Linked DNA regions of Nothobranchius furzeri. The protein of the gene in region 1 interacts with the protein of each later gene in a pairwise test. Links are inferred from orthologs where the notes say so. Each region holds a gene or a part of one and is shown on either strand. Other genes may lie near its edges.

Region 1 (4,363 bases):
ATGCCGGGGTGAGTGCAACACAGGCAGACCGGAAGATGCTGGACTCTGCTCACTGCATCATCCTCAGAGCACGAGAGGCTGAGTGCTGCCGGGTGCAAGGTGTGGTCCTGGTCCAGACTCTGAATCCAAATCCAAGTGTGGGGTCCTCCAGCAGAAGCACAGCTGGCGCTTAGAGGAGAAGCAGAGAGGAGATTCTTCTGGGCTCAAACAGAAACACACCGAGAGGAAGCAGCACTCCCGCTCTCTCCTCCTCTCTGCCTGCTCTCTCCCTCCAGAGGTTTGCCTCCCAATAAGCAAAGAGCTCTGTCACAGCGCCACCCAACGTTATGTTTCATTCCCACGAATCCATTGTGAATATTGGAATATTTTCTGGGAAATAAAACAATAAAGAAAATGTCATGGACTGCCAAGATGTGTCAGCCTATTCCAACTAGTCTTACTCAGCTGCAAAATAAAATTAATTCTACACTTAATAATATTTGTCTAAATCAAAAGTTGTCCAACTTGCCCACATTTCACAGGCTTGTCTTTGTAGGACACTCTGACGTCAGCACCACGGACAGCGAAAATCAAGTTAAAAATGGAAAATAACTGGGATCAACGTTCACTAATGGCTGTTGGAATTTGACATTTACAACTGAATTTTTCTGAATCCAAACTACTGACACGTGTCCTGATAAAGGCTTTGCAGAGTGTATTTTCTTTTGAAATCTCAAGTTTATTTTTAAATCCAGGCTACGGTTTATGTTGTGAATTTTTACAGTTTTGCTGATTTTAAATTTACATGTTTTGCACATGAAAAGCCCATTTAGACTCCTCTGTGTATAAATACGCTTTATGAAAAAGACATGATTAGCTTGCCTGTATTGGCAAGCAGTCTCTGTCCACTTTCAACACCATAAAGTCCCAAATTATGATAATAATATTATTATTAGTAGTAGCATTTGTATTATTATTATTATTATTATTATTATTATTATTATTATTATTATTATTATCATTAAGAGCCATCAAAGACACCCTGTAACTTTTTGAGACAAGGCCTATTTCTACTTTTATTGCAGGTATTTACAACAAGCCAATTACCACCGTCAGCAAATAAACAAGCAGATAAAAATAAACAAAGATTAAACCAGACTTATTATCAGGCCAACTGTACAAAACTGTTCACAGAGACGATGAAAACCCCTGGCTGAATATTTTATGCTCCCTTGCCGTTTACAACACAATAAACTCTATTTCCCAGAGGTCCGCGCTCACCTAGTTCCGCCTGACGTTCACTGTACGCTTGCGTCACGTGACGCAAGGCGGAGCCAATGGGAAAGTCCTGAACTCGTAGTAACACGTCACTCTAGTAAAGTGAAAAGCCGGCTGACAGGGAGCAGCTCGTTCACCGACGTCTTCCTCCCACTTACGCCCGTCTGGTTTCACCTTCAGATGCACTAATTCATCCTAAACACAACCGTCTCTTTAGCCGCCGTCTCGTGCCGAAGCCAGCTCGCTTTATAAGAAGGTAAGAGCTGGGTTTAGTTCAGGGGAAAGTAGGTCGCCCATTTTTAGCTTCCATTTGAGGACAGGAAGTGGGTTAATGCTACATTCCGTTAGCTAACTCAGCCCGATGCTCGCGCTGGCGTTACCTTGTCGCTAAAGCGAGACTTTGGGTGATTAATTACGATGTTTTAGCGAATATTAAAAAGAGGAATATACTATTTAACGAGAATTGCGACATTTGAGTGACTTGAGACGTGTCCCAACAGCACTGCTGCTTATCGGGGTTGATACGTGGCTCCTAGTTTGTGTTGTTGACCCGAGAGTCATCAGATTTTTGATCTGACTTGTAGCAGGGGCCTTTGTGTTCCCCTTTAAGAAATAAGAGGTTTGTTCATGACGTTAGTAGTGGTCAGCGGTTAGGATTGGTATTAAAGCAGTTTTCATTCTGCAGCAGCATCAATAGCATCGACCAACATCTGTTAACGAATCCAAATGGTCTTTATAAAACCCAGTCAGGAACCCTTTGTAGCGCAGCTTTCTGATGAACTCTGCGTTTATCTGTGTTCTGTAGTGCGACATTTGGGCTTGTGCAGTAACATATTAGGTTAAACTTAACAAGCAGCGTAAATAAGTCGCCAAGGGCTCTGGATATGTTGATTTGTGCTTCAGGGCTTTTATTGTATTTGAAATTGAGATGCTCTTTTCTGATTTTGTTTTCCTTTGACCTGCAGCTGTCACTGTTGAGCCCATATTCAATTTCAAATTCAATTCAAAAATACTTTACTAATCCCAGAGGGAAATTGATTAAAAAATTGATCCTGCCTTAATTGATCAAAAAATTGATTACATTCAGTAGAATGTATTTTTCACTATCAACTCTGAGAGGATGTTGTTTGCTGCTGCTTTAGGACGGTGTGTTCAGGGACAAAATCGACTAAACCAAATTTTTGAGTTTCAGAGTGTCAGGCAAAAGGTCATTTTCCTTTAGCTGCCGACTTTATGAGGTTTACAGTAACATTTTAATGAACTCTGTGTTATAATATATGCATAACCTGGTGTAAATGCAATGTTTTTATTAGATTTTTTAGGTTTTGACAGAAATATGTGGAGTTTAAGATCAAACCATCTGTTTTTAGGAAGAATTTGGCTCGTCTAACGTGGAACTTCAGTGGTATTGGAAATCAGAGATGACTATCAGCTGATTTTCTTCCTGCTGTCATTTTCCCATTCTATTTAAAACATTCCATTCTATAAATAGTTTTTCTCACCTCAGTTTTGTTTATTCATCTTTTTTTAAAGGGGGAGAAAAGGTCCGTGTCCCCCGTCAGAAGTGAGATTAAACTGTTTGTGCAGTTGCCTGGCGATGCTTTGCAAAAGGCGTCACTTAGGTGTAATGAGCACATACCGGCACAAGCATAGCCCGATTAAATACACCCGGCACACCCACTCATTTGTTTTAGGAATTCTCTACATCGTTCTTCCTCCTCACCAAAACCAGCCGAGCGGGTTTCCTGGCGGCGTGTTTGTGCGTCAGGCTTTCGGACATCCGCGTATTTCGTTCCCACTGAAGTGAACGGCTCACATGTATAAAGAGAGGATGTTCGCTTTAGTTGGAGAGAGAGAGAGTAGAGAGCCTGAAGAGGGACGCAGCACCGTAGCAGTTATCTGGGACACAGAAACTCCAAACTGGACTGTGGTTTTATTTATTTATTTATTTATTATTTAACCTTTTCTCTGCTGAAGATCGGTGATGTCGACGTACCAGGAGTTCATCCAACAAAACGAGGACCGAGATGGGGTGAGGTTCAGCTGGAACCTTTGGCCCTCCAGCCGCCTGGAGGCCACTAGGCTGGTGGTTCCCGTCTCCTGTCTCTTCACGCCTCTTAAGGAGAGGCCCAACCTGCCACCTGTTCAGTATGAGCCGGTTCTGTGCAGCCGGGCCACCTGCAAGGCTGTGCTCAACCCACTGTGGTGAGTTTCTCAGAGTTTTACGTGTCTATTAATAGCATAGATTTACTTTCATATTTAGCTTTTCATGCAGGAATATTGCAGCTTTCCCCCCAAATGATTTTATTTATAGTTAACGTTAAATGGACAACACAAACAAACTATAATGTATGGTTGTATAACTGCCTCAACATCGACACAAATATTCATCATTGCCATAATACACACACATACTGTAAATGTCTGTTTAGGAACTATTTTTAGTCTTTGTTGTGGTCCTCCTGTAAGTTCAGGTGACATCTATAATAAACAGGTTCTGGAGACGGAGTCTTTTGTAGGCGAAGTGCAGAAAACGGCTGTCGGGTCCAACTTTCCTCCAAAATAATGCAACACGTCTTTTGGCACCAAGTGCTTGTTTTAAACTCCTTAAAAAGATGATCTTTATATCTTTCAGTTCTTCTAAAACTGGTGATGCCGAGACTTTAGCTCTTTTGAATACTGAAGTTTAGGTACTGGGTGTGGATTATGAGGACGCACCTTTTCCACATCGCAGCAGACGATGAAACGTCTCTCTTTCTGTTTCCAGTCAGGTGGACTTCAGGGCTAAAATCTGGGCGTGCAACTTCTGCTTCCAGAGAAACCCTGTGAGTGTTTTCTGTGTGAAACGCCACCTTTATCAGTGCTGATGCGGAGGATCTGCTTTCCTTTATTAGGCTGGTTAAATCGGCTCCGTTTGTCTGTGTTTGTGCAGTTCCCGCCCTCTTATGCAGGCATATCGGAGGTGAACCAGCCAGCTGAACTCATGCCACAGTTTTCCACCATCGAGTACATAGTTCAGGTAAAGGCTTGTGCGTGTCTGCACTCTGACCTCACCCAAGCACATCATGTACTACAGTCGCAAACACAAAGAAGAAAAGTCCTGATT
Region 2 (4,268 bases), about 10 Mb from region 1:
TCACTTTAACCCTCCCACTGTCTTTATGGGAGACCCTGTGAGGAAAGTTGATCATTGAGCAGGATTTAAGTTTTATCCCTTTAGGTCCACATGGCAGGGGTGAGGGGTGCTCACTCCTCCTCACCCTGCTCAATGGTCAGCTTTCCTCGTGGGGTCACACCCATTAGGACAGTGAGAGGGCTAACAGGACATGCTAGGGGTTGTCAATTGCAGGCAGGGGTTTTAGGTTTTCTGAAAATGCTTGAAGAGCATTGGAGGCTTGATTTAGTCATGAGAGTACTCAATCGCTGTCGGTGTGCCGGTCACACTGGATGGCCATAGATTTACAAATCACTCTCATGGACATTATTTTTTAGTCATAATACAATTTACATGGAAAGATTTGTCTATGATAGCTGCAAAACGCACAATGTGAACTGGGCTTTAGTCAGAGACTCCAGACCAACTGAAGCGCTAAAAGAGCTCCTCTGTACAGTTTCTCTCAGGACACGATCACATAAAGTTTTAATGTGAACTGAAATGTTCAATCACCAGGTTATATGTTGAGTCATAAAATGACCTCCTGGGTCATTGGGTGAGATCATCTGACCTTGTTGCTCCACACAGGTAACCTTTATGACATATTCCTGTAAAACCAACAACAGAGTAATTATACACAGAAACATGGATTAAATCTGTTTTGTATATCGAAGAGTGTTTTTTTTTCCCCCATTGTACCGGTTTGTTCTGTCCTTAAGCAACTTTAAAAAACCAGAAATATCCTGTTTTCTCTGGAACCCTAAAGTCTCTCGAAACCTAGACTGAGTAAGAAAACCTGTTAAATTTATTTATTTGAAACTCATTCTCCAAAACTAAACGTGTTGTATTTAATACACTTGCTAGTCCAAACCAAATATCCATAGAGGGACAGTTTATATTTTACAGTAGAAGCCGATCATGTCAAATAGAAATCTACACCTCCATTTAATCAGATGTTACATAAAATACCATAAATAATCTTTGTTATTGATCAAACGTTTGATTGAATTATCCTTGCAGATTACATGAACAAATTAGTGAGGCTGATTCAGTAGGTGGGCTGATTAATTTACCTGGCCAACATGGCACCGTCTTCGTCGTGTGAAGGAGTCGCAGGTCAGACTCCTCCCACTGGCGGGTCAGTAGGAGGAGTCTGGAGAGCAGACGTGGCAAAGCAGAACGTCACCATCACGCGCCGGTGGTTGACTCTACATGGTGGAACAAAGATAGCTGGTAAGTTCTGGTTCTGGGTTCTGATGTTGAAGAGAGGAACACGTTAGTGTGTCAGCTCTCCGCCATGCTGACAGTTAGACGAGCTGGTGGGGTAAAGCCACAGTGTAGCCTCTGCTGTGGACAGGGTGCTAGTGGTCCTGATGGTGCTGGTTCGGACCGATGCGTTCCTGATGGTGGTTCTAGAACTCGTCTCCATATTAAAAACCCAGATCAGACATTTACACGATCTGTGTAGTCTGTAGAAAGCTTTAGATTAAAACATGGAGTCTATAGAGGAATTCGTTTATGCCCCTAGGAAACAAAAGCAAAGTGATCTGAGCTGTCATGCGTATTTAAAGGTATTAAGAGTGGCTGTCTGTAGTGGTCCTGATGGCCCTGTTCTTGGTGGTGATCCTCATGGAGATAGATGTGATGGTGGAGGATTTAAGTCAGTTAAGCAGAAGGTTCTGGTGTGTGTGAATTGTGGTTTTCACAGAGTTAGCTGCTTCAGTGTTTTTCATCTTTTAGTCAGTTGTTTCTGTCATGTATTGAAGTATAATCACTAACACTTTGAAAGGCTTTGATTACATCTAGTTTAAGAGTTCAAGAGTCGGTGTTTGCAGTGTTGGCTCTTCCTCTGTAGTTGGCCCTGACACGCTTTCAATCAGCTTCTGGACCAGATCCTTTCCTTCCATAATCAGGGCCTGGAGTTAGTCACAGTTAGTGTGTTTTTGTTTGTCCACCTGCCTCTGGAGGGTTGATCACAAGTTCTCAACTGGATTAAGGTCTGAGGATTTTCCTGGTCATGGACCCAAAATTTCTGTTTTTATTTGAACATTGTAGGTGTGTTCTTGCTGTGTCGTATCTCTAATTCCATGCTGTATTTCTTTTTTAAAACACAGAGCAGTTTTGTTTACCTGTTTTCCCGCTACGTTTCGTTTGCGGCTGCAAACTTCCTCAGGCTGACGCTGATGATGGCGTCACTTACTTCTCCGTTTATCCGCGGGCAGCAGAGGACGTTGTCATACGTTGTGACATACTCATCTAACGTGACGTCACATCCCTGTTCACAAAAACACCAACCAAAAAAACCTTTGACATAGTAGTTAACAGAGTCAGACAGGACAAGACTTTACACTAAAGAACAAACCTCACAGCAGATGACATAGCACAACTGATAGGACTGGTAGCTAACTCCACTTACTTCACATATGACAACACAATATACAAACAACAGGAAGGCTTTGCCATGGGTAACCCGTTATCAGCCACCCTGTGTGAGTTTTTCATGGAAGACCTAGAACAAAAAGCCATAGCCACTGCTCCCCCAAACTGCTAAATAAAACTATGGAAACACCACGTAGACGACATACTGGAAATTATACCAAAAGGACAAACCGAAACACTAACACAACACTTGAGTAACATTGACGACACAGGCAGCATAATGTTCACTTATGAGACAGAAAAAGAAGGCAGCATAGCATTTATGGACATGAAAATCACCAGGCAGACCGACGGGACCCCAAATATAAACACATATAGGAAACCAACACACACAGACCAATATCTATTATGGACATCAGAACACCCCACCATACACAAAATGTCAGTAATCAGAACATTATATCACTGAGCAAACATAATAACAGAAGAAAGAGACTGTAAACAAGAGGACAAACACATACAACACACTTTAAAGACCTGCGGATACCCGACATGGGTGATAAACAAAGGAAAACAGCAAACAACAACAGAAAGAAAAGAACAAGCTAAGCAAAGAACCAGAAACCCAGAAAAACAACAACCAAAACCAGTGGTAACCCTACCATACATCAAAGACATAACAGAAAAAGTAAGACCAACAATGAAAAAACACAACATAAACACACCAACAAAACCATACACAACAGTTAGAAACAGACAGGTACACCCAAAAGACAAAATATCAGCTGGACTTAAATGTGGAGTCGTTTATGAAATCCCATGCAAACTCTGCAATAACACATACATAGGAGAAACCGGACGCCAACTCAACACAAGAACAATAGAACATAGAAAGGAGTGCGAGAAAGAGGCAAGTCGAAGATACACAAGAGCAGCAAGACAAGAAGCAGAAAGCACAATAAAGAAGTCAGCCGTAACAGATCACTGCACAAGAGAAAACCATATAATGGACTGGGACAACACACGGATCATTAACACCGAACAACAAAAATACAAAAGATGGATAAAAGAAGTAATCGAGATAAGGAGACGTGGATGTGGGACCAAGAACAGAGACGATGGGGTTTACACGTTGGACCGCACATGGGACTGCATCGTCGGAGAGGGGAGAGCGGGCAGCAGAGGGCGACAACATCCTCTGCTGCCCGTGGATAAATGGAGAAGGAAGTGACGCCACCATCAGCGTCAGCCTGAGGAAGTCTGCAGCCGCAGACGAAACGTAGCGGGAAAACAGGTAAACAAAAACTGTTCTGTGTTTTTAAAAAAGAACGTAAGCATGGAATTTCTGTTTTTAGCTTCATCGCTTTAGTTTTATGGCACGGTGCTCCATCATGCTTCACCAGGTTGTTCTTGGATGGTTGGAAGAAGTTCCAGTTGGATGTTTTGGTACATTTCTTTATTGATGACTGATGGGAGTGCTCACCTTATCTTCTGCAGACCATCCTTTCTCCAGATGCCTTAAACAACCAGAAAAGAGCTTCATGTTACCCCAGTCCTCTGCAGCCCACTCACTGTTGTTTCTGTAGTGGCTTCTTTCTGCCCTTCTTGACACCAGGACATCCTCCAGAAGTCTCCTCTCTGTGCTGCAGATGCACTCCCACCTGCTGCTGCTGTTCCTGAGCAGCTCTGCACTGGTGGCACCTCGATCCTGCCGCTGAATCCTCTTTAGGAGACGTCTCGGCTCTTGCTGGACTTTCTTGGAGCCCTGAAGCTTTCCACACAATCATAAAACCCAGTGATGAATGTTGACCTGTTTCAGCTGGACTTGTGCTGCTGGAACAGGCAGCACAATGTCTCAAACGGTTTGGTCT

The links.
Region 2: the proteins of sec23b (region 1) and prrc1 interact in binary tests that used the Homo sapiens proteins (3 or more experiments, as listed by UniProt). The two-hybrid records come from large-scale screens. The link is inferred for Nothobranchius furzeri from reciprocal best matches to the Homo sapiens genes SEC23B and PRRC1.

Annotation. Positions count from the first base shown.
Region 1 is NC_091746.1:24,268,864-24,273,226, forward strand, and holds the start of sec23b (protein transport protein Sec23B), read left to right. Parts: upstream 1-1,359; 5' UTR 1,360-1,513; intron 1,514-3,234; 5' UTR 3,235-3,241; coding exon 3,242-3,462; intron 3,463-4,024; coding exon 4,025-4,082; intron 4,083-4,189; coding exon 4,190-4,276; intron 4,277-4,363. UniProt on the Homo sapiens protein: Component of the coat protein complex II (COPII) which promotes the formation of transport vesicles from the endoplasmic reticulum (ER).
Region 2 is NC_091746.1:34,220,762-34,225,029, forward strand, and holds the start of prrc1 (protein PRRC1), read left to right. Parts: upstream 1-1,148; 5' UTR 1,149-1,251; intron 1,252-4,268. UniProt on the Homo sapiens protein: May act as a regulator of the protein kinase A (PKA) activity during embryonic development.